Linked DNA regions of Coturnix japonica. The protein of the gene in region 2 interacts with the protein of the main gene of each other region in a pairwise test. Links are inferred from orthologs where the notes say so. Each region holds a gene or a part of one and is shown on either strand. Other genes may lie near its edges. The genes, in order: UBQLN1, NGLY1, TRAFD1, GUCD1, RAD23B, UBXN2B and TRIM54.

What was found.
Region 1: the proteins of NGLY1 (region 2) and UBQLN1 interact in binary tests that used the Homo sapiens proteins (3 or more experiments, as listed by UniProt). The two-hybrid records come from large-scale screens. The link is inferred for Coturnix japonica from reciprocal best matches to the Homo sapiens genes NGLY1 and UBQLN1.
Region 3: the proteins of NGLY1 (region 2) and TRAFD1 interact in binary tests that used the Homo sapiens proteins (3 or more experiments, as listed by UniProt). The two-hybrid records come from large-scale screens. The link is inferred for Coturnix japonica from reciprocal best matches to the Homo sapiens genes NGLY1 and TRAFD1.
Region 4: the proteins of NGLY1 (region 2) and GUCD1 interact in binary tests that used the Homo sapiens proteins (3 or more experiments, as listed by UniProt). The two-hybrid records come from large-scale screens. The link is inferred for Coturnix japonica from reciprocal best matches to the Homo sapiens genes NGLY1 and GUCD1.
Region 5: the proteins of NGLY1 (region 2) and RAD23B interact in binary tests that used the Homo sapiens proteins (3 or more experiments, as listed by UniProt). The two-hybrid records come from large-scale screens. The link is inferred for Coturnix japonica from reciprocal best matches to the Homo sapiens genes NGLY1 and RAD23B.
Region 6: the proteins of NGLY1 (region 2) and UBXN2B interact in binary tests that used the Homo sapiens proteins (3 or more experiments, as listed by UniProt). The two-hybrid records come from large-scale screens. The link is inferred for Coturnix japonica from reciprocal best matches to the Homo sapiens genes NGLY1 and UBXN2B.
Region 7: the proteins of NGLY1 (region 2) and TRIM54 interact in binary tests that used the Homo sapiens proteins (3 or more experiments, as listed by UniProt). The two-hybrid records come from large-scale screens. The link is inferred for Coturnix japonica from reciprocal best matches to the Homo sapiens genes NGLY1 and TRIM54.

What each region holds. Positions count from the first base shown.
Region 1 is NC_029547.1:36,148,845-36,152,874, reverse strand, and holds part of UBQLN1 (ubiquilin-1), read left to right. Parts: intron 1-3,156; coding exon 3,157-3,308; intron 3,309-4,030. UniProt on the Homo sapiens protein: Plays an important role in the regulation of different protein degradation mechanisms and pathways including ubiquitin-proteasome system (UPS), autophagy and endoplasmic reticulum-associated protein degradation (ERAD) pathway.
Region 2 is NC_029517.1:34,848,452-34,852,481, reverse strand, and holds part of NGLY1 (peptide-N(4)-(N-acetyl-beta-glucosaminyl)asparagine amidase), read left to right. Parts: intron 1-996; coding exon 997-1,185; intron 1,186-2,710; coding exon 2,711-2,888; intron 2,889-3,395; coding exon 3,396-3,571; 3' UTR 3,572-4,030. UniProt on the Homo sapiens protein: Specifically deglycosylates the denatured form of N-linked glycoproteins in the cytoplasm and assists their proteasome-mediated degradation. Cleaves the beta-aspartyl-glucosamine (GlcNAc) of the glycan and the amide side chain of Asn, converting Asn to Asp.
Region 3 is NC_029530.1:5,457,825-5,461,854, reverse strand, and holds part of TRAFD1 (TRAF-type zinc finger domain-containing protein 1), read right to left. Parts: intron 3,464-4,030; coding exon 3,061-3,463; intron 1,730-3,060; coding exon 1,463-1,729; intron 683-1,462; coding exon 612-682; intron 420-611; coding exon 207-419; intron 1-206. UniProt on the Homo sapiens protein: Negative feedback regulator that controls excessive innate immune responses. Regulates both Toll-like receptor 4 (TLR4) and DDX58/RIG1-like helicases (RLH) pathways.
Region 4 is NC_029530.1:7,449,362-7,453,969, reverse strand, and holds the start of GUCD1 (protein GUCD1), read right to left. Parts: upstream 3,207-4,608; 5' UTR 3,184-3,206; coding exon 2,973-3,183; intron 1,859-2,972; coding exon 1,774-1,858; intron 351-1,773; coding exon 185-350; intron 1-184. Other genes in the region: SNRPD3 (small nuclear ribonucleoprotein Sm D3), read left to right, coding at 3,608-3,733, 4,419-4,608.
Region 5 is NC_029547.1:49,514,822-49,518,851, forward strand, and holds part of RAD23B (UV excision repair protein RAD23 homolog B), read left to right. Parts: intron 1-1,443; coding exon 1,444-1,571; intron 1,572-4,030. UniProt on the Homo sapiens protein: Multiubiquitin chain receptor involved in modulation of proteasomal degradation. Binds to polyubiquitin chains.
Region 6 is NC_029517.1:101,283,354-101,287,383, forward strand, and holds part of UBXN2B (UBX domain-containing protein 2B), read left to right. Parts: intron 1-2,928; coding exon 2,929-3,038; intron 3,039-3,473; coding exon 3,474-3,611; intron 3,612-4,030. UniProt on the Homo sapiens protein: Adapter protein required for Golgi and endoplasmic reticulum biogenesis. Involved in Golgi and endoplasmic reticulum maintenance during interphase and in their reassembly at the end of mitosis.
Region 7 is NC_029518.1:95,417,258-95,421,787, forward strand, and holds TRIM54 (tripartite motif-containing protein 54), read right to left. Parts: upstream 3,227-4,530; 5' UTR 3,160-3,226; coding exon 2,992-3,159; intron 2,852-2,991; coding exon 2,679-2,851; intron 2,286-2,678; coding exon 2,114-2,285; intron 2,020-2,113; coding exon 1,924-2,019; intron 1,680-1,923; coding exon 1,446-1,679; intron 1,360-1,445; coding exon 1,337-1,359; intron 1,183-1,336; coding exon 1,058-1,182; intron 975-1,057; coding exon 882-974; intron 743-881; coding exon 704-742; intron 289-703; coding exon 278-288; 3' UTR 160-277; downstream 1-159. Other genes in the region: DNAJC5G (dnaJ homolog subfamily C member 5G), read right to left, coding at 3,792-3,874, 4,113-4,257. UniProt on the Homo sapiens protein: May bind and stabilize microtubules during myotubes formation.

The DNA.
Region 1 (4,030 bases), on a different chromosome or scaffold from region 2:
TACTATAACTAGCTCAGGTAGGAACAATGCAAGTTATTCTCTTCACGTTGGTTTGGGTGTGGGCAGCAGCAGAACAATGTTCACCTGTATGTTGCAAAAACCTTCAGAGACAACAACGTTGAGCAGATTTAGTGGAAAACTACGTGTACAAAAGGTCCGTGGGAGCCTGAATGCCATTCATTTCTTCATTTTTATCTTTACTCTTTCTGAATTTAAAGAAGACTGTGGGTTTTTTACTATATGAGAATGACCTTGCATTTAGTGTACTTACCAGTAACAGTGGGAGGTGCAGACTAAATGGAGAGATGCTTGCCCACAGAGTATGGGAAAAAATTCTGTATTCCACCCTCCCTAACTCTTCTTCACAAAGCAAACAGTAGTGATTTATGTTCTCATAGGATAGTTTGCTGAGAATTCAAAAAAACAACAACAACACTTGTACTGAAAAAAATTTGTAGGTTATTTTACTGCAGATGTATAAATGATCTCTTTCCTCTGCCTCAGAAAAAGATTGCTATTCTCACAGGCCTATTTTGCTGTGTTGTTATTTTTGATTATTAAAAGTAGTCATCAGACTCATTTACAAAATGAGTTTCGTGGTGTCACCTGGATGGCTTTCTTGAACATGAAGCATGGCTATCAATCATTACAGAAATCTCAAGATTTTGCTGAATTCAGGTGAGGCTGAAAAAGACCTGACTTAGTTTTAGTTTTTCTTTTTTTTTTTTTTTCCCCTCCCAGCAGTTAGTCTGCCTATACAGATATGCCTCAGTTAACTGGAATTGTCTCAGTACTTATGATAGATTTGTTTTCCTGGCTGGAAAAAGGTCATCTGTGCATTTGGATTGCGCACGTACATTGCTGTAAAGGGCTCTTTATGGTTCTGGTACATTGGATTTTGCATTCATGTCTTAGATTAGTGTTGTTCTTGCAGGTCATCTAAGGCAGTATCATGATAGCAGGGAAAACAATGTGCATAGCCTTTGATGCCTATACTAGTAATACTAGGTACCACATAGTTACGTTCTATAAAAGGTGTTTTGTTTCCTTGGCCTCATGGTTAAATAGCTGCTTGAAACCTGGCAGGACATGGCTCTAAGCACTGTTTACAATACAGCATAAAATTTATTATGATAATTAAGTTGCTCCCTGTCACACCATATTGTGAAAGTATGACAGCAGATTATGTTACTCTTTGGTCTGGCGCAATGCTTTTATGCATTAACTTTGTACCAAACTGAATGTTTTTCCTGATTTTGCTACTCTGTAATATGCATTCTTGGGAACAATTAACTGAAGGAATGAAGACTAGGAAGCAACTGCCTGTGAAGTTATTCTGCAGAAAATGGTTTAAAGAGTTAATAGTTGTTAAATAAGTCTGCACTGTTATTTTCCCATATGGGCTTCTGCTTCTTGTAAGTGGAAATGTGTCTTGCAAGATGTAGAGTTTCTCCTGCTATCCTAGTAAGAGTGAGTAAGAATTTATGTAGAGTGCTGTAGCTCATTTTGTGTCTTACATTTAGAAATGAACTTAAAAATAGAGAAAGTAGTAAGAACAATCAGATTAGAAAACACTACTCCTCAAAGAAAGGTTAGCTGTGCTGCAACCTTTATCCTAAGCTGAACAATCTGTGTTGACCATCGTGGGCCAGACAATGAAGAAACAAGAGAGTGAAGTGCTGGAGTAGGTTTCTTGGTAAAAAAAAGATAATGGAGTCTCTATTGCTGGAGACCTCTGAAAACAGGCTAGATAAACATGTGAGTAATAGATCAGGTAAGTAAGCCACCTTGGAAAGGAATGGACGGAATGACTTTCTGGAATACTGACAAGCTTAAATATTGTCAGTGTAAAGGCTGACTTAGAAGCTGTTTCTATGAGAACCAGAACAAAATCTGTGTGATCAGACTTAACTAAGCAGCGGCTACCTGCTACCCAGACAGAGACTTATCTCTGTTGTCTCTCAGATACTTCTTTTGGCATGTTCTTTTCTCTTCCTGTACAATAAACCCTTCCAATTAGATACTAGGGGATTTTCTTTTTTTAGTCCTGCCAATTATAAAACATAAGTATTAATAACTGTAAGATTAACATTTGAGTTTTCTGAAGGAGTGAGAATTTCTAGAATGCTTGGAAATTTTTTTCTGAAGAGGTATGGTCAATTCAGTTTTAAAATGCCAAATTGGGTGAACTTCTGGAGTTTTTCCCAACTGACTAGGATACCTTCAAAAAATAAATGACCTACTGAGTAGTCTTATTTAGAAGTATTCCTGGCTTTGGTATAATCAAGTCATTCCTTGTCATTTTTTCCTACTGTTTTCCTTTTTACTTTTAGTGACTTTTTTTTTTCCTCACTGTGAAAATTTCTACAGAATAATTAAATATCAGTCAAAGTGTAACCTGGTTACTACTTGATAAGAAGGCAGAAAGTTATATGATGGGTTTCCATGTTCTCTTGTGCTAATGAGAGTGTAATTTTTGTGGTCAGCTGAAGTAGGTGGCTTTTCACTATGGCTAGAACTGTTTCCTTTGGTTATGTTATGAGTTGGCTGAGAAAACAGGGCCAGCTGAGTAGTATTTTTTGCCTGTACGTAAAGGAGTGCTAGTTTTGTTGCATGAAGGGCAGCAAAACTGTCTGAGAAGTGAGGATAATTCTTTGATTGGTTCAAGGAAAAGTATAGACAGTTTCACTGTAATTGGGATATTCTGTCCTCAGTCTAATCAGCAAAGGATAAATTCTGTAGTGTGTGTATGTTTTGTGTATATATGTAAACATATTAGTATACATATACTGATATGTAATATGTGCATATAATACTATGTATACTTGGTAAAACATGTAAATTGTGTGCGTGTGTAAATATGTCCACACTGGTATGTAGTTATTCTCATGGATGTGTGTCTGAAATACTGACTATGAAACACTTTTCATCTTTACTGCATGGAAGAGGAATGACTTGCTTGTCTCTTCCTTTGTACAAAATTAAAAAAAAAAAAAAGTTGAGTGACCTAAACAAAGTATTTCTAGATTGCGTAAACTAAAAAATGCAGAGCATGTGCTTTAGTATATTAAGTTTGAACCAAGTCCAGTAATTATTAAAAACATAGTAGTTCAATATACAATTATGTAAGTGTATAAAATTAACTTTTTTGTTTAGTTTAAGGAAGAAATTTCTAAGCGTTTCAAGTCCCATACCGATCAACTTGTACTCATATTTGCTGGAAAAATATTGAAAGATCAAGATACTTTGACTCAGCATGGGATTCATGATGGACTCACTGTTCACCTGGTTATCAAAACACAAAACAGGTAAATAACAGTTGTCTCCCTGCTTCTAAGAAGTCAAAATACTTCTAATTTCTGATGTGACAGCTTCCTGTTGTGCAAACTTAGATCTGACTAAGCAACTATGGTAAATTTGTTAGCTGTGGTGCAAAATTAGTCTGAAGTTAAAATGCTCTTTCATTAGACCTGTGTCATATTTTAATAAGATGTGTGTTTCTGCATGCAAGTAATAGAACCATAAAATCTTTTGAGTTGAAGAGACCCTTTAAGGTCATCTTGTCCAACTCCCTTGCAGTGAATAGGATCACCTACAGCTACATCAGGTCGCTCTCTTGCTTTTGCTGTTGAACTTCAGCAGAGCTGCTGAATGTTGACTGCATTGCATTTTTACAGTTCTATTAGGTAGCAGCTTTTAGTAACCATGAGTGTCTGTTGAGCAGTATTACTTTTGGGACATTAAAAAAGAAAAAAATAGGGGAGAAACATTTCTGTTTTGGAGAGAGAGAAAGGAAGGAAAGTCCTTGAAGGAGAACTACTCTAGTGCAACCAACTTGTTTGCCTGAGCAGAAAGACTTTTTTTGAGATATTTTGATGAGGCTGCTTCTAAACGACAGTGAGAAAGATGCATAAATCTACAAATTACTTGTGAAGTGTCCTGAAGGAACAGCTGACTGAAAATCATTTTTGTCAACTAGGGTAAGGTATACCTCATTTGTATCTAGATTATATAGTCAATAACATGTTTG
Region 2 (4,030 bases):
CAGAGAAAGAGATCCTTCCTCAGTAGGTAAAAATGGGATCTAGGAAAGGTGGAACCAGGCTCCACCCCTTCTGGTAGCACAGCTGAATTACCTTCACCTGTACTCCTGCAGCTGACTCATTGCTTGCCTCAGGTGGTCATTCAGAGGTTCAGGCTGTGATCAACAGTTTCCCATATGGGTAGCTAATTAGAATTTCTGTGACTACAGTCTGCAGAGGAATAAAGCTTTGTGAGTCAGGGGTAGGTGAACTAAGAATTATGTTCAAACAGTGAAAACTGTAAAAACATTAGGGACAAGTTAAGTAGAATTCAGTAGTGGTACACTAGAAAGATGAGGACTGGTGGTGGTCCATTGATTCAAACAATGTTTGGGAATAACTGAGTCATGCTAAAGTATTACATTTTATAATTAATAAAATAATCCATTTTGATTAGTTATGATGCAACAGAGCTAGGAAGTTTTAGGGCAGGTGGAAGCTTTTGGGAAGACTTTAAAAAGTATGTGGTTATGGAGTTTGTAACTTAGCTTTTCTGAAATTGATTCATTAACATGTACAAGCACCTGAATATGACAGTCACAGACTTTACATTTGATATTTGGAATAACCGTATAGTCGTTGATTGTACAAGAAATAGAAATATACTCAATACTTTTTCTAGTCCTAACATGTTACACTTTTTTTTCCCTTAAATTTGCAGATTTTATGTTCTTTGCTTAATAATTTACTTGCAAAAGTAATTGTGTGACTATTTTAAAAATAATATTTTTGCTCCTGTCTGGGAAAGTGGCAAGTCTGTTGTAGGAAAGTAGTTCAGAGGTCTCTGTTTTCTGTAACAAAAGCATCTATGCAAACTCTTGAAAAACTATGATGTGATTTTTGGGACTTTTTTCAGTTGACATGAAAACTGAGAAAACGTGGTACATTAATTAAACGTAACATCATGTTACTTGAAATGTTTTGGGAAATTAACGTGCTCATCTTTATGTCTTTTTCAGGAGAGAAAAGAAGTGGTTTTTATTCCCTCTGAAAAAGAGAAGGCTTCTAAACTTTTCCACCTCATCTACAATGTTGTGGAAGATAGTTATACACGGATTTCCAATAATAATGAGCAAATAAGTGGCTGGGGAACAGGTGTTTGGAAGGCAGAGTCTATTTGGAGAAAGGTTGAAACAGATTGGAAGATGGTAAGGATTTATCAACTGTTAAATCTACCATGGAAGTATGTCAGTTTCAGTAAAGTAGAAAATCCTTGCCTGTGTTTGGCATCAAAACCTCTCTGGTGCCTACAGAATTTAGTGGATGCTCATAATTATTACTGGAAAGTTTCAGGTAAGATTGCCAGATGATTTAAGAAATTGTGAATAAATTTAGCTTGCCTTTCAGAGCGTTAGAATCCCTGCTAGAGCATCAGATCTTAAAAACTTGTTTCCTTCTTATGCTTCTGGGCAAGCATGTGATACTGCTTTAGTGAAAAGCAGTACTTGTCTCAAAAAAAAAAAAAAACCCACAAAAATAAACACTTGCTTTGGGGAATAGCTTTATAGTGTGTATCATATCTCTTTGATGCACAGCCAAAGGAAGAAGTTGTCATCCTAAACATTATGGTTCCATCTGCAATAACACAAAAAAACTTATCGGCCAGATTATCATATACCCTGCCCAGACTCTTTCCCATCTGTTAGGACACTGAGCAGCAGAAGAATCATATGCCTTAAATCTAGGAAGAAAAGAGTTGACGCCTGTAGAATAGGAAGAGGTCACTTACTAACAAGCTTTTTCAGCAACAGCTACCAATGGTGAACTGAACATTCCTCTGAGCTACTGCAGCTTGTTATTGTTGTGTTCCCTCTCTCATCCTAGTGGCCTGAAGGGTCTTTGGCCAAATGTGTGTCTATCTTAAGGAATAGTTTGGTTTTTAGTAATGAAAAATGGATCAACAGGCATAATTCTCTTCTAACGTTTTCTGTACTGGGTCTATACATAACAACAGATATTTATACAAACTGGGAGGAGAACCTCTTGAGAGCAGCCGTACAGAGAAGGACTTTTGGGGTCCTGGTGGACAAAAAGCTGGACATGAGCCAGCAGTGTGCACTTGCTGCCCAGAAGGCCAAGTTTATTCTGGGCTGCATTAAAAGAGGGGTGGCCAGCAGGGAGGAGGTAGTGATTGTCCCCCTCTACACAGCTACTGTGAGGCCCCATCTGGAGTACTGTGTCCAGGCCTGGGGCCCCTAGTACAAGAAGGACACAGAGCTCTTGGAGCAGGTCCAGAGGAGGGCCGCTAAGATGGTCAGAGGGCTGGAGCACCTCTCCTATGAAGAAAGGCTGAAGGTACTGGAGAAGTGCCGTGTGGCAAGGAGTCACATCTGCAGAATCCAGAATACTGAGCAACAAAAATGAAACTGTGGACCTATGGTTTTATATAAAAGCCAGAAGTCTGCTTTTGTTTAAATAATGAGCTTTAATGAAAATGTTGAAATAGAGTAGTGTTCCTAGTGAAGGGCTATGAATTGTGTACAGTTACCTAACTGCTGAATAGACTTAATGATTTAGAAAGAAATCATATAAAAAGCAGTAATGTGAACAGTTTTAAAGCTTAATAAAGAATGAAAGCATATCCTTAAGATTGAATAACCTTGTTGCAGGGATTAATTAAATATGTGTTGATCATTTCAATTTTTCATGTGACTATGTCTTGTTTTTATTTAGGTTTATTTAGCCAGAAAAGAGGGGTCATCCTCTGCTTCCATCAGCTGGAAGTTTGAATGCAAATCTGTTGGTCTAAAAATAGATAACATTTCAATTAGGACGAGCAGTCAGACATTTCATAGTGGAAGAATCAAGTGGAGACTTTACTCTCCCGCAGCAGAAGTTATTGTGGTAGGAGGTAAGTGTGAAATTACATCATGCAGCAAAAGTGTAATTGCAAAGGTGTAGTTTATATGGGGAGAACACTAGGCAACTGTTAAGAATGAAATGTAAACATATGTTGATATTTCTAATTTAGTCTTTTGTAGCAAGGTGAAAAAAAACTGCTGTTTAATCAGAATTGGTATAGAAAAAGGAACAAAAGCAAGTTTTAGTAATCTTCACAATACTACTTTGCAGATTCGTGGCATTAGCAAAAACACAGTGAATAAAAGCTGTGTGTTTTACAAGTAAGGACAGAGATTTGTATGTGGTGGTGTCAGTCTTGAGTAGATCCTCTGAATGTGAAAAATACAGTAAAATTCTGCAGCTGTTAGGTTTTTTTTTCTGCTACTGATAGACTGATTTGTACAGTGGTGACTCAGATTCTTGAACATTCATGACACATTACCCCTTTAATATGAGTTCTAGCATTGTGTACTGTTTGGAGTGGACCCTTATTTTGTTAATCTTTTTCTTCCAACAGATAAAAATCTTACCTCCTATTCGGATTTTTGCGGTGCAACAGAAGTTACACTGGAAGCAACTCTAAGTGGAGGGGATGGTAAAACTGCATGGCAACACACGCAGCTGTTCAGAAACAGCTTAACAGGATGTGGAGAAAATTGCTTGGAGATTATTATTAAACTTGCTGACCTCTGAGAACCTGAAATAAGGTGAACTTCATTGGATTCCTTGAAGACTCTGTACTGTGGAAACAACCCAAGGTCTTGGTTGGCAGTTCATGACTATCCTGCAGACAGCTTATTCCTGTTTCAGTCTTTCCATTTTGCCAAATGGAAACTGCATGGGTACTGAGTAGGTAACCATCACAATGAAAGCCTTCTTTGCTTCGAAACTTAAAAATTAAGGGATTGAACCATTAAATTAATGCTCTTTCCTTTAACTAAAGAAAGGAAAGCATTTCTTAGTAACCAAAATGTGGTCATAAGAGCACAGAGCAGTTTTAATTTGGAGTTCTGTGGTTAGCTTACTAGTTATTGGGGTATTCGTTTTGTTGGTTTTTTTTAAATTTACTTCTTGCAAAAACAATGTGAATTCCATTTTCTGATTAAAACATTGTGATGATTTTAAAAATATTTTAAAAACTAATAGAAGACA
Region 3 (4,030 bases), on a different chromosome or scaffold from region 2:
AGAACTTTCAGAGCAATAGTTCTTTCTTTCCCCACCAGGAGCCTCAGCATACCACAGCAGCATAGCTGTTACCAACAGGCTTTATTTAGGAAGGTCTGATAGAGGGGGCAGTTACATGGGTTCCCATATTCCACTCCAAAAGGACATGGAACTTGCCAAACTTCTTGAATTAAATGTGACAGAACATACTGAACTCTGTTTATTACCTGATGATGAAAAAGTATCTCCTCTTCAAGTTGGATGCCACAAAATTCACAGGGAATGATAATGTTTCCTTCTTCCTGGACAGCTTGGTACCGGGATGAATAATCAGACCTATAGCTGTTGTACCCAATATTATGCAGATCATCATATTTTTGTGGATCCAGAGAACTCCTTTTACTGAAGGAAGCAAAGGCACTTGCTGGGTTACAACCTGTCTGTTAAGCAAGTAACATAGAAAAGTTAGCCATCTCATTTAGCACACAGGGGTTTTAAAAATAATGCTGAGCAAAGATAAAATTACTAGACTTTAACTGTATCACTGAGCAAACACTGCACCTTTGTTCGGTCACAGTAACAAACAGGTCTTAACTGCAAGCTCCTAGATACAATACAAAGAAGTACTAAACCTGATGAAGAATCAGATCTTCAGCAGGGTACAGCTCCTCACAAAACTCACACGGCAACATGATCTCATCACCTGCAAAGCAATAATGGTTATATCCTCTACCATATAGAGCCTGGCTTCATTTGGATCAACTTAGATTCAAAATTCCTAAGCAATAAATTCCTGTACTGTAGCACAGAACAGCAACCAAAGCAAATGCAAAGGAAATAGTTACTGTAGTCCCACTTGTTGAGTTTTCTGAGTAAATCCATATCACCCAGAGACAGAAAAGTGTTTTGGGGTCAAATATATGATACAAAAGCCTACTACTGCCCCCACATAAATCCCTTCATACTATTTTCCCTTTCAAATTAATTTGGCACCTCAGGTCTCTCACAGGTGTTGAGAATAAACATGATAGGAAGGCAGCAAGAAAGCCTGTTGTTATGAATCCCTTAGCACTGATGGGCACAGGCACCTATTTTGCTTCTAAAGGTACACCAGTGTTTTCACTTAGAACTGAAGGCCTGGAGTAATATCAGTGCTTGTCCTTGCATTGTTCTGAACTGTTATGAGTTGAAAAGAATTTCTGGATGAACATATCAAGGTCAGAGCTCCACTACACCTTTTAGTTCTTCCTCCCCTTCTGTCTTGCTTTACTTCTGTTCAAAGAAGTATTACTGTTTTTGAGGGGACAGAAGATAACTTTTAAGAAAGAAATGGCATGCTTAATCTCCTACTATTAATTATTTAACAATTATTTAGAGGGAGTCTCAAAGAGCTTCACTTTGATCTACTTAGATGATCTTTGACAGTCTGCATCCAAGAATCCTCTTTCTCTCTCAGACTTAATAAGACAGCATTTATACTTACGTTTCAAGTGGTTTGAAGTGTTCAAAGACAATAAAGAGTCATAAGGAAAGGTATTTGAGTTGTCTGTTTCATTGGGGCAGGAAGATGGCACAGATTCTTTGGCATAGTGGTTTTCCCAGACGTCCCTGTGAATCTCTGCCGCAGAATTATTGCGAGGATTATTCTCATTCTGAAGGCTAAGAGCCAACATGTGGTCTAAATTGGCATTCTGCTCTTCATAAAGTGAGTTAGTGTTTTTATTTCTCTCCAGCTGCTCCAGTCCATACTCTTCAAAAGATGAATATAAATTTTAGGTAACGTTAAACCTGCAACAATTACTTAAGCAAATTAGTCTAGTTCAACCAAGAGGGTTTCACGTGCGGACACTCATGGAGTTCAGTATTTCACAGCCTAGGACACTTCCTGTATCAAATTAGAAGGAAAACAGTCATCCTGCTTCTGTTTGTAACAACCAAAAAGAGGAGAAAGAAGAACAGAAAATGTTGTTCCGCTTACACAAACATTATGAAGTTAAGGAGAGAAGTTCTGTATCCTACCTTGTGAACAAGGCTCAATTCTAACACGCATCTACTACTTTCTGTGAGGCTGGAACTTTTCAACCTTGTCTCTTTAATGTGTGAGTGGAAAAACAAATTCCTTTTAATGATACTACATTTGACAAATGGGTATTATACACATACAGAAGAAAATGATGAAATGTTTCCTCGTCGTAGAGTTATACATAAAAACAAGCAATCAACAACAAAAAACCCACCACATTTCAGAACAGGGCCCAAGACTGAACTGATGATGTCTAGTGGAAGGCTGAGCTCCTCCCCCATGCTGGCATGTTTCAAATATCTCCAGCATTTTATTCATCTTGATTATATCAGAAATTCAAGAAAACTTAATACACATATGAAAATCTTACTAGAAGATAATTTAGAACTCAGTACAAGTGGACAAGTTATAGTCCTCCAAGCATTTAGCTTCATTAACTAACCCCAAAAGTTATTTCTGCAAGCCAGGCAGTCTTCTATGGCAAAGACTGCAGTGTAGTACTTTCCAGTGTTAAACCCTCTGAGTAGCCCACAGCAGAAAGCAGAGCACACGTTCAGCAGAGAGCTCATGGAAAGGGCATGTCTTAAATGTGACATGACCCTCTGCACATGGAGGTGGGAGATTAGAGGCTTATGAGCAAGCAGAGGCATTTATAACAGTCTCAGCTATGTCCAGACAGGCTGTTATTGCAGAAATGCTCAGCACTTCATATGTGAACCACATACAGATCTTACCTAGCCTTCTACTTAAAGGAAGAGTGGAGCTGCTAAATAAAAATCAAAAGGATTTAAAGTGAGCAAACAATTCCAGCATCATTTTAAAGTTAGGTACTTCTTGAGGTGAAAGCCCAGTGCATTGCCTGTGCTGTCATCTCACCAGCTACCTCAAAAGTCCTCCATTTAGGAGGCTTATACTTTTGCAGCTTTGTTCCACAACAAAATAGTGCCACACTCATTGCCTCCACAACTTTTCTTACTTAGTATCACATAAATCTTTTACTTGGATCACCTGGCAAATGGCAGATTAAAAACAAGTTATTACTTTCATCTATACCTTACCTTGATTTTGATTTCTCTGTGTTCTTGAAACATTTCTTCTTCTAATGTCCTTAAGTGTTTTGTCTCCTACAGAGTCGCTATAGATCTGCCTTTCTAGTGCCCTGGGCATTCTCCACAAAGGCACAGCACAGTTATCTGATCTTAACTGGTTTCTAATGTCTCGAAGGGCATGCAAACCTGCATCCTCTGCCTCAAAGCGAGGCACTGTTTTGCTTACTCGCTTCACCTCTTTCCCACAGACTTGGGGATGCTCTTTTAGATCTTTTACCATTACGTTAAGGCCACAACCACTACACATCTCAGTCCTAGCTCCACAGTAACTTTCATGATCCTGAAGCTTATTGAAAGTAAGCTGGATGTCACAATGCTGGCAGACTGCAGGACGCAAAGGGCACGCTGATGTCTAAAAAAAGAAGGAGGGATTATTCTTAACATATGGAAGACGGAGGCAAAGGTAAATGGAGGTTCTCACTTTACTTGAGTTGAGCTTGCTATTGTTTCTTTAGCTAGATACAAAGCTGCACTGAAGAGCAGCCTGAAATAAAATACTATACAAGAAATAAAAGAATGATACACTGTATCACCTGTGTAGTCAGAAAGCTGTCAGCTGAAGCACTACCAACATTCAAAACATTCCCTTTAAACCTGCAATGCTTTAACAGCAGCTTCACATAGTGCTTTTTAAAGTTAATTTTTAAGAAACATTCTTCACAACCACATTTAAGTACTGCTTAAAGACTTATTAGTGCTTATTACATCAGGGAACAGACTTGCAACGCATTTACTACTGAGCAACTATCACTTACACACACTCTTTACACTACACTGAAGCTAAACATATATTAAATACATGTTATAATTGAAGATGCTGCAATAGCACATTGCCACTTTGTAAACAAAAGTATTTCACAAACTTCCAGAACAAACAACTTCCAGTGTTTTGGACTGGATGCGTCTTCAAAGAAAAAAC
Region 4 (4,608 bases), on a different chromosome or scaffold from region 2:
AACAAAGATGGGAAGATATCTAGTTTCTGCTTTGGAACAGATCCATACCAGTTCGGGCAGCGGGCAAACCTTGTTTCTGGGAGCTATATCTAACTAGCAGTAAGACAGCAGAGGTATTTTAGCATGATGCATAGGGGGCCCTTTTAAAACTGCCTGTCATTTCCCAATAAATGAGAACACTAACCTGATTTTTGTAACCCTTGTCCACTCCAAGCGTCTGGGTGCAAAATTTATGCTTAACACCAAAGTGCCGCATTAGGTAGGCCAGGTCAATGGTCCAAATACTCTTTGTTAACCGGAGCTCTTGGATGGCTTTCTGAAATTCATCATTGTCCAAATGATCCAGGTACCTATGGTATTAGTAGAGGTAGGGGAAAGGAAGCACAGATCTTAGGAGAAGCACAGTATGTTCTGTAGCCCAAACCTCCACATCCATGGGACAGAAAAACTGATACAATGGGCTTGGCTAAGAAATAAGCATAAAACAACCCACAAATGAGCCACAAAGTTAAGGGAAGGAAGCAGAGAATACATAAATGGATTTATTTCTGACTTTTCTTATTGGAAATATACAGGTATCTCAACTGCTCTGTAGTACTAAATATATACAGGATGCTGGACAATAGGCAAGCTATACTGAGCAAGTATAGAACTATCTTGAAGGGCTTACAATCTACATATACAAGGTTAATAGAGCAAATGCAGAAAGCAGCAGTAAAGACTAAAGCCTGCTCCAAGCAACAGATGAATTTCAAAAGGAGGAACTGTAAAGGAAGTTGATAAATATTCAAAGGAAGCCTGCTTAGGCACTGATGACACAAAAGGCAGTAAGGGGGGAGATGAAGTCTGAAGAAAGCTTGGGACAGGTTGCAAAGGGATAGGGAAGGGCAGTTACAGAGTTCTGGAGGTCAAAACAAATGGAATTAAACGAAGAAAAAACAAATTGAGGAAGCAGGGCAAACAAGGTCAGATCTGCAAGGTGAGAATATTAATCTTGAATGCTGAGTTTTGGACAGACTGGTGTGGCAAAGAGGTTAAAGGGAATGAAGAGGCAGAGGTTACAGAAGTCAAGATGGGAATTACCAGCACACGGACTAACGTCTTGGCAGAAGGGATGGAGAGAAATGAAAATCTTCTCCTTCATATCTACTAAGTGGACATCTAAATAGGTATTTCTCCTGCACCTAACATGTTCCTCTGTGGAAGGAAAGAGGAGTTCAGAAGAACAGCTACAGGTTCACAAAAAAAAAAAGAAAAAAGAAACAAAAAAAAAGAAAAGAGATGGCAATATAGTGCACAGCTGTGATGTTGAAACAACTCCTGGAACAAAAACCATTCACCCCACAGGCTGGGGGCTCAGCAGGACAGAGGCAGTATACTCAGAAACTAGGATAAACCTATCCACTGCATAATGATATAGAAAGGAATTACGTGACTTGCTGTGGTAAATACCAGTTCTGAATTGTAACAACAGGAAAGAGGGATAATTTCTTATCAGCTTAAGCATACCAAACTGCTTAATTGTTAGCTCAGGGCTGATCAATCAGAACAGTTATTCAAAAGGTCTTAAGTTTGTCTTAGCTTGTAATTTCCCTTCTGGATTGCTGTGCTAGGCCCTGGAAGCAGTAATTCTCCAAGGTATTCAGGGATATGTGTTCTTGCTAAGCAAAATTCACAGCTGCTCCAATACACCTCATGTCCCTGCACATTGCTTCCTGATACCCTCTCCCATGGGTTGGGATTTCCCACCCTTCCAATGAAAACAGCACTTACTGTAGCACCATCCTGGAGCAGGCCAGCCCGCAGTCCCAGTGGTACAGCTGCTGAATGATGGGCACTTTCAGCTGCACACATTCACCTGCAGTGAAAACACCCCGTGTGAGTAAAATGTAAAAGCTGTCAGTCGTTATATGGGAATGTTTTTCTGTACTTCACCATTCCAATTCAGCTTGTTCTCAGCTCTGTATTCTGTGCCAACAAAAAGTCATAGGTCAAATGGGTAAAAAACAGACACAACCAGGATCTCTAGGCAGTGATTTCTTACAAGCCCTATGGATTTCAGCCTCTTCTACTGCCATGTCTTTTTGTGAGTAATTTTTTAAGGTAAGACAGCTCACAAATGACACCATCTGTAAAAGGGCCAAAGAAGAGAGACAAAACCCAATCTATATCAAGAAAATCTGCAATATCAGTAATTCATCCTTTGTTATTTCTTTACAGGCAGTAGTAGTGGTTTCAGTTTCAGCAAAGCCCAGATTGCTTGATGGACTGAAGTGCTTCCGCTTGGCATTGTAACTTCAAAGACAATCCAAGTGAGTTAATCATAAAAGGCTTTTCTTAATGACTTTACCTTCGATCTGGTACAGACCCTTGGAAACCTTTGCTAACACAGAGTCAGCTCTGCTTTCAGATGGGGATAAAAAGCATTCAGCATCCTGGGGGCTGCTGCAGTTTCAACACAGCTTTATATGTAAAACTTTATGGACAATGTCTTGCAGTTTTAAACTGTTTTCTCACTGAGTTACGGCTTATTGCAGCAACAACGCGGTGCACTTTCTCAATCACGTCACTGGGTTTAATCATAACTTTGAAAGCTGGCACACACCCATTGGTGTACTCAGTGTTTGTTAGCAATGTTGATTATACTTTAGAAGGACAAACAGCCCCTCAAATCCCGCTTGAAGGAAGTAATGTAAGCATTGGCGGTGTGTTATGAGCTGTGTTATGAGCAGGTCCATTCTCTGTTACCATCCAGGGCCTTCTAACACCACAACTCACTGTGGATGTCCCTGTTCTCCATACACTATGACTTCAAAGGTAACAACCAGGCCCAGCGCTGCCCGCTTCTCATCCCCACCCCCAACAGAGCTGTCACGGCCCGACCCGCGGCTGTAAACAAGGCGGAGCACTCTCAGCTCCACCAAGTGCTTGACAGGCCGCCCCCGATCCGAGGCCCCGGAGCTGTCACTGACCTGCCTGCGGAGGGGGCTCCCCCGGCTCCCGGGGGCTCCTCATGACGGCGGCCGCCCGCTCACTACCCGCCCCGCCGGACTTAGGGCCGCGCCATGCCCTGCTGCGGCGACGGCTCCTCCCGGCTGCGGAGGGGGCGGACCCCGAAGCGGCTGCTCGGAGCTGGGAGGGAGGGAGCTGCCTTCGGGAGGAACAAAAGTGCAGCGGAACCATCGTGATAAGGCAGCGAGACCCTGAGGGACAGGAGCAGTAGCAGGATCCGCTCCTGTGCCCTTCCGATTCCGGGGCTCTGTGCACGGCGGGAAGGCGGCGGCCATTAGGGTGGTTGGTGGGAGGTGAGTGTCGGTGGGGGTTTGTTATAGGGTCGGTTTGTTATGGGGTGGGTCTGTTGTGGGGGTTTGTTATGTGCCTGCAGCTTCGTAGGGCGGCAGATGTGGGCTGAGAGGGTGGGCTGCCCTCAGCCTTGGGCCGGGCCTTGGGATAGGCGTGTATTGCCAAAGCACTGAGGCCTTTGTTCAATGGAGCAAATCGGCTCCTGTAGGCAAAGCCGAACTGCAGAACGACTGGGAGTTTGTTTCCTTTATTCACTTCTATGTTGTGCTCTCTGTCCCAGGAGTAGAGCCGCAGTGTTGCAGCCATGTCCATCGGGGTGCCCATTAAAGTCCTGCACGAGGCAGAGGGCCACATTGTGACCTGCGAGACCAACACTGGGGAGGTGTATCGTGGGAAGCTCATTGAGGCTGAGGACAACATGAATTGCCAGGTAAAAGAAGTTTATCTCATCTGTTTGGAAGTGGTTGCACTCAGCAGACTGACAGCGGGATTTAAAGACCTTTTACTTTTAGTCTTAGGATAAATAAAGCCCTTTTACTCTGTGCACTTACAGTAATGAAGTGAATTCCAGATTACTGAGCACACCAAATTGCTCAGAATTGGGATTTCCTGTTCCTGGTTCCTCTGTGAGCACCTTCTCTTCAGCAGTTCTTTGTTTATTGCCTGTTGATAATAAATAAACTCTAATTTATGAGCTTAGAGCTGTGCTTAATGCAGAGGACTTTAAGGCATTGCAATAGCCTTAATTTTGATAACTTCATGCAAGTTGTAGTTGAAATAAAAATGTCCTTAATAGCTGGGACCAGTAAAACTTTATTTAAACTATCTGAATAAGAAAACAAAACTAATAAAACTAATTAAGCAAGTGGGGAGGAGGGGAAAATAGTGAGTTTGCTTAAATTTTAGCAAGCTTTAAGACTGTGTTTAAATGGTTATAGATGCCTTATATAACAATAACAGTTGAAGGCTGTATGCTTGATAGGGCTTTGAGTTTATTACTTGAATCTTGGCTATATATATATTCCATGAGCAGGAGTAGTGGGAGTACAAAACTATGTTTAAGGCCACTTAAAACAAACTGTGTTTGAGACCACTGTCTGATCTTTACTTTCCAGATGTCCAACATAACAGTGACATACAGGGATGGGCGAGTGGCGCAGCTTGAGCAGGTGTACAGAGGCAGCAAGATACGGTTTCTCATTTTACCAGATATGCTGAAGAACGCTCCTATGCTAAAGAGCATGAAGAATAAGAACCAGGGCTCTGGAGCTGGCCGAGGAAAAGCAGCTATTCTCAAAGCTCAGG
Region 5 (4,030 bases), on a different chromosome or scaffold from region 2:
TTTCTGTACAAAATCTATCACTGCTCTGGTCTCTACCAAGCTTTTATTGAGAAAAGCACTACAGAAATGTTTAAGCATTAACTAATTAAATGAAAAGGTATTCTGTGTGCTGTTTATCTTCATAAGTCCATGATCAGTAGTAAGAATAAACTGTTGGTGGATGGGAAAATACGAGCAGAAAGTTGATAAATAAACTACTGTATTGGAACAGTTTTGGCTTTTTTGCTTTTTGAAGATATGTACAATAATATATAATTTTTAAGGCAAAGTTTTCATGATTGCTTATTTTAAGGAAATGAGTATGTAAAATAATGGCTATATGTAAAGACATGTATGTACCTTTGTTTAAGTTGGTTAAATCTTCTGTTTTGAAGTCTGAACAGTGGGTACTCACACTAGCCAATAGATGTTAAATCATTATTTATGTGTAATGCACAAGTGTCTTTGAGGTAGTGCTGTTCTACTCTTAAATATATTTTTTAGTTTTTCCTTTTGACTCTCTGTGGGAAGTCTCCCTTAAAATGTTGCTCAATTACAATTCAGAATAGAATAGTTTTTTCCTTTTTGTTTCAGAGGGTTTTTTTAAACCTTGTCTGTTTTTAACAGAAGTAAATGAAGCAGTTTATGTATACTTAATTTTATTTATTTCTAAACCAATTGTATAATGAACTGCCCTGAAACTGTTCCATATGCAGTATTTTTTAACTTTGTCTTGATATCTGCAGGCATGAGCCAGGTTTAGTATGTTTGCACCCAGACAAGATCGGGAGCTTAGTGTGATAGATGTTTAGTCAAAAATACATTGTGATAACTTAATCCTCACTGAAGTCTTGAGATTCTCTTAGATATAACTTTAGTCTTCTGCTTGACTTCAGTTGCTCCAAGTTAAGTTGGTTAAATTACTTTGATTGTTGTCACCAGCTCATAGTTAATAGACAATTATAACTTGATCATAACTTTGTCGCCTTTCTAACCATAGCTTAGTATAAAGTACTTCTTAGGAAAAAACATCAATGGCTAATATAGTCTGACAAGCAGGTTTCTGCCTAAAAAGCTTAATTTCTGAACTTAGACTGCAGGAGACTTTTCATAATTATGTTAGGAATTGAATATTAGTTTTAATGACATTGTTGAGCTTAGGGAAAAGCATAGAAAGGGAAGGGTATCTCAGTTATGAAGTTGGAATTGTCACATGTGCTGCTTTTTTCAGTGGAAGTTTGTAGTGTGTTCATTATCCTAGAACTCTGCTATTCCAACCAAATGCATAATGAAACTATCAGAACATGTTTTGATAGAACCATGGTGAGGTTGATATCAGTGTTTACGCTTCAGTGAATTACTCAAATTTGAATAGAAGTGACACTTCTCCATTGAAGCTTTTTAAGCTTTTTTTTTTTTTTTTGGTACCTTATTCATTTACAATGGTCAAAATGTTACTTCTAGTGACAGGTCAGTCCTATGAGAATATGGTGACTGAAATCATGTCCATCGGCTATGAACGTGAGCAAGTAATTGCAGCGCTGAGAGCCAGCTTCAACAATCCAGACAGAGCAGTGGAATACCTTTTAATGGTGAGCAGTTTGTCATGTATACTCCGTTCTCTCGTCTTCATTGAAGAACTTTGTATTTTATTTACCTGTTATTTTGAATATTGTTTTGATCGTGTGCTACGGGAAATACTGAAGTTGCTGTTAGCTACATCTCTTGCTTTGCTTATATTCTGTTGATTTTTTTGTGGTTATATGTGTTAGGCACACCCAGTTTCATTGGAAGCTCTTAATTGCTAGTGACCAACCCAAGCAGTGGTTGTTGTGACATCTTAGTGATAATGCTGTTTTGTTAGTGTGCATAACATCACACCAAGGTAACACTTTAGAAATTCCTGTTCATCATTACTACTGGTTGTACACAACAATCATACTAATGAGTTTTCCAAACAGAAGGACTTGTAAATTTTTATTAACAAATGCTTTACTTATGCAGTGTTCTGGACAAGAAACAGTTTCCCTTGTCAAAAACACAGTTTCAAAAGTGAAATGAACTTGATTGACTTGAGAGGTAATAAAATAGTAACTTCACTTTAATGGAAATCTTGTAAGTTATTTTAGGGTTTTTTGTTGTTGTCTTTGTTGTTGTTGCTTTTTAAATTACATCTCATTTTAAAGCCAGCTGTCTTGAACTAGTCCCTGCAGAGTATGAGAACAGAATTTCTGAGAGACTTGATAAGAAAACTGACCTCCAGCTGCAAAGTTTTGTTTTTGTAAACAAAATTTTTTGTTAGTGTGTACAACTAGCAGTCACTGGCACGGTTGCTATTCACACAATTGATCCCAAGATCCTGTAGTTTCTAAATGAGCAACAAATGTTTTTAGTACATGAATGTAAAAAGTTAAACTCTCATCTGGAATGGGAGCAAACAAAGGCTTTGAATTCTTGATACCCTGAGGGCAAATGGAGTAGTTCCAACCCAGCTGTCATTAATCTGGAAATCTCAAATATTTATCTTTCATGCCTTGGAAAGTGTTGGTTTTACTGTCTGCTCACTGTGCGTTTAGTTTGTACATAAATCCAGTGCCCCTTTGAAGTGCTGCGTTTGGTGTATGTTCCCCAGTCATGTACAGCCTGTAGTACTTTTGCAGTCGGAATAATATTTCCCTGCTTTAGCTCATTTGTGTTGAGGAAAAAAATAAAAATAGATTATCCAGGAGGTAGTTTAACAGGTGGCACGTTTGTTCATCAAACAGATCGATTCTGTCCTGAGTAGTTAATTTCTTGCTCATTAGGCTTGTGGGTCTTCCTCTTGCATATGTGCTCTCCCTTCTATTTTTTGTCATTCTCTTCTGAAAATATGTTTTCATTTTTCTGTCAGCTGGAGAAAGGAGTGGTGAGAAGTAATCTTGTTCTCAGAGAACATTAGTATACAGACTCTTTTTTTTTCTGTTAGAAAAATGCTATTGGTGCTACTGAACTTTTAGACAGTTTTTTGGTCTATCTAAATATGTTCATGACCAATCTGCTGCATCAGGAAAATGTTTTCTTCAGTTAGTATTGTTCCACTGATAACGCGGTTCTTTGATCTCCTAGTTTAACAGCCTCCAAATGATCTGCAGGGTAGCTTTAGGATGTTGAGCTCTTAAGTGCACACAATTATTGTGGTTTGAAGAATCAGCACCAAGAAAAAAGCCTATAAGCGGCTGGAAAGGAAAGGTCAAGTGTAGTTAATGTAGCTGTTCTGGAGATGAGAACTGGAGAATCACTGACAGCAAGTGGGATCATTTAACAAGCTATTCAATTTTTATGGCTTAGTTTCTCAATCATATATTGTCCTATATCCTTGAGCTGTGTTTGTAGAAGGAGATTTCAATTCTAAAACACACTTCTAAAAATTTTTATTTATTTATTTATTTTACTTCAGACTTGTGTTTAGGAGATATTTAGATTCAAATCTGGTTTTGACCAAAGGTTTTCTTAACCTGTTAATTAGATTTTCTGTCAGTCATCCAGCTATTTAATTCTTTACAACCCTCGTTGTCCAAAAATGTGTATGCTTCTTGGACTGTGCCTGATATGATTATTACACACACCTGTGGTGAATGTTGTCTGCTAGTAAGCCACTCTGTTTGGTTAAACTGTGAGCAGATCTGCCCACAGTAAGGCAAAAAAATGCCCTTTTCACAGTTCAAGTGATGTTTATATTCCAAATTTAAGTTTATGTTTATTGATACCGTGCTTGTATAGATGTGTAAAGGGGGTGCATATACCTTACTGATTACCATCACATATAGTCTAGGTTTGTATGGTGGATTGTTTGTTTTTTTGATAGTAATATTTCAACGTTGTATTTAAGAATTGAGACAATATTCAAAATAGTAAATTGTCTCTAAGTAAATTTGGTTAGGCTAGTTTCCATAGTGTTTCCATTCAAGGACAGACTTGAGGTTTATACAAACATTCACTGATTGGTCTGGATACAGACAGTAGTGACGACACTTTCCTGAGAATATGTAAAGTCAACCAGTAATTCCAGAAG
Region 6 (4,030 bases), about 66 Mb from region 2:
TCTTTGTTCAGGTCATCTGGTCCAACCCTTCTGCTGAAGGCGGTACACCTTGAGCCTGTTGCCCAGGATGCCATGTTGAGGCAGCTTTTGAAGATCTCTAAGTAGAAGACTCCACAACCTCTCTAGATGCAATGTTCTATTGCTCAGAAACCTGCAAAGTATAAACAAAAAAAAAATGTTTCCTGATGTTCAAAGAAAACCTGTATTCCAGTTTGTGTCCATTACCTCTTGTCCTGGTGCTGGGCATCAATGTACACAGCCTGGCTCTGTTTTGTTTGCACCTTTAGGGATTTACACACTGATGAAATCTCCCTGAGCTTTGGCTTCTTCAGGCTGAACAAGCCCAGCTCAGTGTCAGACTTTCCACATAGGAGAGAATGCTCCATTCCCTTCATCTGAGGCCCTTTGCTGGTCATTCTCCATTATGTTTGTGTTTTTCTTGTACTGGGGAGCCTGAAATTGGACACAGTGCTCTAGATATGGTCAACTACTGGAAAAGCTTTGCCTAATACAGTCCAGGATACCATTAGGCACCTTTGCTGTAAGGGCACACTGCTGGATTGTGTTCTATTTGGTGTCCTCTCAGGTTTTGCCAAGCTGCTTCCCAGTAAGTGCCCCTCAGTGTGGTAATGACTACGATGTTTTCTTCTCCAGATGATGGGCTTTGCATTTCTTGTTGAGCATCATTAAGTTCCTGTCAGCCCATTTTCCATCCTGTTGAGGTGTCTGTGAATGGCAGCGCGACCCTCTGGTGTATCAGCTACTTCTCCCAGTTTTTGTATCATCTTCAAACTTGCTGAGGGTATGTTCTGTTCCATTGGTGAGATCACTAATGAAGATTCCAGACAGGATTAAACCCACTGTTGGTTTGTGGAGTACATTGTTAGTTACTTGCCTCCAACTAGACTGTTCTACTCATTACCACCCTTTGGGCCTGTCTGTTCATCTCGTTTTCAGTCCAGCTCACTATTTGCTCATCTCCAGGTGGGCAATGTCGACTGTTCTCCCCTCATCTACCAGGCCAGTCATTTCATTACAGAAGTTGGTCAAACACAGCTTCTACTTGATGAATCCATGCTGACTGCTCATGATGAATTTGATGTCTTTCCTATGCCTGGAAAATGATTTCCAGGTTTAGCTGCTCCAGTCCCTTCCCAGGAATTGAGGGGTGAGGCTGACTGACAAGTAATCAATTAGCTTTCTCTAGACACGATTCAAGTTCAAAATTGCCTTAAATCTTGAAGCTAACTTGAGACATAGTTATTTCTAAAAACAGATAACAATCTAAAAGAATCCCATTATTCTTTAATAATAATACTCATCTCATTGTGTCTTTATAATTTTTTTATATCGTCCACATACAATTTATGCTGGAGTCTTCTCTTTGCAAATTATTTTCAGTGTGGTGGAAAATGCATGGTTTTCCTTTTATAGCAGACTGTAACTAGTGGGAAAGAAGGCTCAAGTCAGAGACTGGGTGCTGACCCACAGCTGAGAAAGTGCTGGTTTCACTACTTGAAACAGAATGATGGGGGAAAAAAAGAGAAGTTTTTCTCCATCTTGGCATTCATGTTTTTCATGCTTTCATGTGAGTGGCTGAATTTTATTAAACCATTCTGTCACACAAATTATAAATGGCTGGTTTTATAAATCCTCTCTGTTCAGGTTACTCCCATCCTCTCATCTTGACACTTCTTTGCTGTACTTGATGCAGTTTGTGTGATAGTCTGCTCTTACTCAAGATCGAATGTGGGAAAAATCAGGTCATCTTTTCTTTTAAGTGATTCCTCCTTTTCTTCCTTATACAAATTAAATGCATCCTAGCTGATAATATGAAGATAGTGGAGACATCAAAAGCTTTTATTTGCCAGCTTTTCAGACTGAGCATGACTTTCAGTCTTCTTTTTCCTGTGCTTAGATACAGCTTAAATTCTTCCACTGATTAATAAGAAAGAAACCAAGTTAGTATACTCTGTTAGTCTCATAATATTAAAAAACCAACCAACCAAAAAAAATTTAGAATGTTAGGTTGAAAGACAGTCTAGTCCAGCCTCTTGTTCCCACAAGCCAACAGAAGTGATAAGTTGGATCAGGGAGATGATCCAGGTTAAAAGCAAATCTTTTCTTCTTTTTCTCCCTTTTCTCCTGTCAGATTTTGCTTGGGATCACGTCATTGTGTGGAAGTGAGGGAAAGTCAAAAATACAAAATCTTCTATACCTTGCTATTCAGATGAGTGCCTAGAGTTGATGTTAAGCTCATCAAGGCAGGAAAAACAGGAGAAGCTAAAGGACGTGGTCTAGGTTGGGAGCTGGACAGTAAGGCATTAGTTACAGGAAAGAGAGGTGCAGGGTAGAGCTAGTATCAACTTTAACTGCAGTTTAACAATTTGATGAAATGGCAATTATAGCTCTAACTGGTATGTCAGCAATATTTCATAAATACATGCATTTATTTCTTGTTTTATCAACAGGAAGTGTTTACTGCTTTTAAATGTAGTTCAAACACAGTCAAGCTCATTATGAAGTCATTGTATATTGTCTGTATGTCATGAATCATAGAATTACCCAGGTTGGAAAAGACCTTGAAGATTATCGAGTCCAACTGCAGCCTAACCAGAACCCTAACTCTAAAAACCCTACACTAAATCATATCCCTGAGTACCACATCCAAACGGCTCTTGAACACAACCAGGGATGGCGATTCAACCACCTCCCTGGGGAGCCTATTCCAGTACTTAACTACCCTTTCTGTAAAGAAGTTCTTCCTAATATCCAACCTAAACTTGCCCTGGCGCATGAATAACAGATTAATAAGAGACTTTTTACCACAAATGTAAAATTGGCTGTGGAATAAATAGTAATCTGTAGGAAACTGAAATACTTTACCTGTGTATCTTCACTTTCTTGAACATCTGTGTTTTTCCCTAGGTTCAGATTTTGCTGAAACTGTGGAGGAACGGCTTCAGTTTAGATGATGGAGAACTGAGATCCTATTCAGACCCAATAAATGCTCAGTTTCTTGAGTCTGTTAAAAGAGGGTGAGTTAAAACAGCAATTTTATTGGGGCACATCCTTCAAGTGAACTGAAGAAAACTGTATTCTCTAAAGGACCAAAATTATTAAAAACTCAACGTTTCTGCTATGTTTGTACCTATCAAATGAGATCCATATTTGTCAGCAGATGCATAGAGTAATTAAAAAACTGATATTTGTTGGTGGCTTAACTTCTAACTTTACTCATATAGGCTGTTAGTTCTGCATATTTTATTGGTAATTTCTATGCTGATCTTTTTTCTTCATTTTAGTTTTTCATTTTATCTGTTATTTTGAGACCAAGCCAATTCATAAAACAACTGGGCATCTATGGCTTTTAAAGTAAGCGGACAACAAGCATGAGCTTGTACAGTGTAAGATTTTTGTGTAATTCTTCATTGCAGTACAGAGCGTAACCGGGAGCCTTTTTTTGTATTAAGGGAAATTCCTGTGGAACTGCAGCGACTTGTTCATGGTGGCCAGGTTAACCTGGATATGGAAGATCACCAGGAGCAGGAATATGTGAAGCCAAGACTGAGATTCAAAGCTTTCAGTGGAGAAGGGCAAAAACTTGGAAGGTAAAAAATCACTGAGTTTTCTGCGTCTATTTGTCATGCCAAAAGCTGGATTTAATTAGTTCTTTTGGAGAACTAATCAAGTGATGACACCAGTATGAAATCACTTTGTGCCACCTTGATTTCAAGGTCCCAGCACTGATTTTATAGTCACTTGTAACCGTGAAAGCTTATATGTAATCTTACTAAAAGGCAAGTCTTCTGTGTCCTGGACCTGCTCTTAGATCTGCTAGATGTCTGTTGTAAATACAAGATTTCTCTGCCTATTCTAATGTATGATTTTGTCTCTCTATATTTTTTTTTATACCAATAGAACTGGTACATAATATTGCAGAAATCATTCCCATGTTCTGAGTGTTTACTTTGTCCAAATATACTTAATCTCTGTTCAGATTAAATTACTGTCATAGTAAACAGTTAAG
Region 7 (4,530 bases), on a different chromosome or scaffold from region 2:
CCAGCGCTGTTTGCTCGGTGCACCCAAGGGACGGTGCTGCCAGACGGAGCTGCGGGGGTGGCAGACGTGGGTGCTCCCCCCAGACATGGGGCTGCAGGCAGAGCACAAAGCCCTGGTACAAGGGAACCCCGCAAGCACCTCATCCCCACACACCACACCTCACAGTGTCCACTCGCTCAGTTTAATGAGGGCTGGGGGCAGCCCCACCACGTGGGGCTTCATAGCAGTCGTAGGGCTGTAGGGTTTGCTGGTGTCAGTGCTGTGCCGTGAGTCCAGCTCAGTGCTGACCTGCACCGAACATTGGCCTCAGTGCCAGCACAAAGTCTCCATCTCAGCCTCATCTTATCCCCATCTCATCTCATCCCCATTTCATCCCCATCCCATCTCTATCCCCATCCCCATCCTATCCCCATCTTCCCTCCATCCCTCTCCTCATCCTCACCCCATCCCCTGCCACCCCATCCCTATCCTATCCCCATCCTCACTTCCTCCCTCCCCACTCATCCTCACCCCATCTCCTGCTACCCCATCCCCATCCCATCCCTGTCATATCCCCATCCTCACTCCCCCCCTCCCCACCCATCCTCATCCCCATTCATCCTCACCCCATCCCCACCCATCCTCATCCCATCCCCTGCCACTCCATCTCTATCCCATCCCCATCCCATCCCTACACCCTGCTCATCCCCACAGAGCATCTCACCATGGGGAGAGCTCAATGGCTTCTGCCTTGGCCCCACATCTGTAGAGAAAAAGCATTGGACAGGTGGAGAGAGGGACACATGGTGAGACCATGCACCGTACATGGCCACGCCGCAGCCACGGCAGCACCGTGGTGACTGCGGCACAGCATAGCACGGCACAGCACAACACACTCTCACCTTCAGCAGCCTCAGGTGCCTCCAGGCTCTCCTCATCCCCTGCACCTTCACTGCTGTCTGTGGGTCCATCTCCATCATCCTCACCCAGCGCTTCTGTGGGGCAGAGGCACATCTCAGTGTGAGGACATCCCTGCTGCAGTCCCCTCCCCAAGGCAGCGCCCGCCCCATGCTGGCACCTGGCTGGAAGTCGATGGTGCGCAGCATCTCAGCCACATGGTCCACATTGATGGAGAAGTGGTCCATGCTCTCATAGCCGGGCTCAGGGCGGCTGCTCATCGACACCTTGGACATGTCTGTGATCCTGGGGGTACAGCAAGCAGCATCAGCCCTGCCCACCCACCCCCCCATGCCATCCTCATCTCATCCCCCTCCCCATCCCATCCCATCCCATCCCATCCCATCCCATCCCATCCCATCCCATCCCATCCCATCCCATCTCACCCTACCCCACTCACTTCTTCAGGAGCTCCTTGGAGTGCTGTGGGGGAAAGCAGAGTGCCGTCAGCATCCCAGGAGCAGCGCACCAAGCCGCAGGGCGCCCCGCACACAGCCCCCCCCAGGCACCTGCAGGTACACGGCCATCTGAGGTTCCTCCATGGCCTGGATGGCCGTCTCCACCAGCTTGGAGGAGGCCTCCAGGTGGTCCCCGTACTGTCGGATGAGGCCGCGCACGCGCTGCACCTTCCCCTCCTGCTCGCGGGCGATGCTCTGCAGCAGCTCCTTCTTGCGCTCCTCCAGGATGCTGCAGAGCGAGTCGAAGCGCAGCCCCACGTGCTGCTTCTGCCGCCGGCCGTTCTCCTGTAGGATCCCCCCCCGGGGGCTCAGGGGGCTGCCACGCTCCCAGCCCGGCCCCACAGGACACCCCTGTGTCACTGTGCCCTGGGGACACCCGCGTTCCATGGCTGCAGTGGGGATTTCCCTCCCAGGAGCATCCCACCATGTGGGCACAATACACCGGGTGGGGGTCCCGAACCACGCAGACCCCACACGCGGGGCCTGGGGGGGGGGTGTGGGGGGGAAGGCACACACAGGGCAGCCCCACCTCAGTGCTGCGGCAGGAATCTTCCAGCTGGGAAATGATGGTCTGGATGCGGTCGTTCCCCGCTACTAGCATGGAAATGCAGTTGTTCAGCTCGCTCTGGGGGGCGGAGCGGCGTCGGGGGTCGCACCGGGAAACCCCTCCCACCGCGCCCGCTCCATTGACCCCCCCCCCGGCTCTGGGGGTCACCCACCTTCTGGCCCTGGAAGATGCTCTGCAGAGGGGCGACTTCGCAGTCCTTGTGAGCACCGAAGACCTTGCACATGGAGCAGGTGGGGACCTCGCAGGTGACGCAGTAGATGTTGATCCTCTCATCCTCATGATCCTTGCACATCAGCTGCTGCTCCGCCTTGGCGTGCAGGGGGCTGCGACGGGAGGGAGAGGGCGCTGCGCCCCACGGCACGGCCCCACGGCACGGCCCCACGGCACGGCCCCACGGCACGGCCCCACGGCACGGCCCCACGGCACGGCCCCACGGCACGGCACACGGCACGGCCCCACGGCACGGCCCCACGGCACGGCACACCTCTGCCCCGTAGCATCCCCCGCCTCACTGCACCCCCAGCCCCACAAGTTTAGCCCCAATACCCCCCCACCCAGGCTCATTCCCCCTCGTGTCCCCTGCACAGCCCTCCATACCACACAAGCCACGGCATCCCCCGCCCCACCTCACCCCACGGTGCCCTTGAGCCCCTTTAGCCCCAATCACCCCCCCCCCATCCCCACGGGCTCCCTCCCACGCGTGTCCCGCCCCGCACCGCGCCGACTCCTGCTTGTAGATGTCGATGATGTTCTCCACCAGCAGGTTCCTCTGCAGCCCGTACACACCGTGCCGGTCCAGCAGGACCTCATGGCGACACGTAGGGCAGCGGAACCGGCCCCCGGACGGCCCCGCGCCGGAACCCCGGGACTGCCACAGCGGGTTGGAGGCCTGGGGGGGCAGGGGGGAAAGGAGAGAGCAGGGCAGGGGGGGAAGGAGGGGTTAGCGAACCGCTCCGAGACAGAGATCCCCCCTCCTCCCGTGTACGGAGCCCCCAACCCCGGGCACAGCCCGGTCCCTGCGCCCCGCACCTGGAAGATGTCGTTGGCACACTTGCGGCAGAGGTTATGCTGGCAGGGCAGGATGACCACAGGCTTGCTGAACATCTCCAGGCAGATGGGGCACAGTAGCTGCTTCTCCAGGCTCTCCATGCTTCGCGCTTCCGCCAGCAGCGGCTTCAGCCCCACGGCGAAGTTCATCGCCGCGGTCCCGGTACCTCTCCGGTACCGCTCCGGCCCCTCACTGCCCCGCTCCGGCCCCGCAGCGCTAATTTTAGCCGCCCCCGCCCCGTCGGGGCCGCGCAGCTGTCGGCGGCGTCGGGTGACACTGAGTCACGGCGGGCGGCCGTCCCACCGCCGGGGTCACTCCGTCCCGACGCCCCCCGGGAGCGGCACGGCGCTGCCCCCCCCCAGCCCGGCTCCACAGCCGCCGCTCCGAGACGAGAGAGCGACACCGCCGAGCTCCCCCCCATCATCCTTTAATGGTGCCCATATAACATATACAAACCCACGGAAAGTGCCTGAAGGGTCCCAGCCCCATAACGAGCGCGGTGCGGCCCCACGGCGAGGCAGAGTGGGGCGCGACGGGAGGCCCCTCTCCGACCCCTCCTCCTCCCCCCCCATACCAGCCCCAGAGCAGCGTTTGGCACCCAGCTCCCGTCAGGGGGGTCCGGCCCCGGGGTTACAGTGCTACCGGTCTCAGTCACAGCGCTGTAGGACGGTTTCACCTGAGATTGTACACCCCCCTCCCCACCCCACGATGGGGTCTTGGGAAGCGGCGGTGGTCCCGGAGGAGGCTTTACCCCCCACCCCCCTCCGGCACATAGGTGGCCCTATGCCTCGCTCCTGGCTCCGGCAGCAGGCAGGGGCTGGGCGTTGCTTGCGGGGGGCTGCGCTTCCACCGGGACCTGTGGGTCTGGAAAGAAAATGTGTGGGTCAGTGGAACCAGGAGGGAGTCCTGGGGTCCTGGCAGCGATCCGGGGCTGCCCCTGGCACCAGCACGGCCCTCATGTCTCTGTTCCTCTGTTAAGGAAACCGAGAGAGCCCCCAACCCACGTGTCCCACCAGCCCCCGAGCCCGGTGCAGCCCCCCCTGCAGGTCTCTGTGAGCCGGGAGCATCGTGGGGGGGGTCACCATTTTGGACCCCAACTCACCGCCACCATCGTCCGCCTCCAGGTCCTTGGGGTCGACGTACTTATAGGACTCGTCCTCGCGGGGTGGGCAGCACTTCCCGCAGCAGAAGAAGCAGCAGCAAAAACAGCAGCAGCAGGTCAGCAAACCACAGCACAGCGCCAGGGCCTGCGGGATGGGATGTCACAGCCTGAGGCTTCCCAGAGACCCCCGAGGCTTCCCCGAGACCCCCAATATGCCCTAAGAGCTTGGGATTGCCATGAGACCCATGGGGCTGCTCTGAGACCACAGGGCCCAGCTGCCATGGAGATCCCCTGGGCCACTATCAGACCCCAGGGCCACCTGAGACCCCAGACCCAGACATTGTGAGACCCCAGGGCTGCCTTGAGACCTTTGGGGCCACATAGAGACCTCAGTGTCCTGCTGCCATGAGAATCCCAG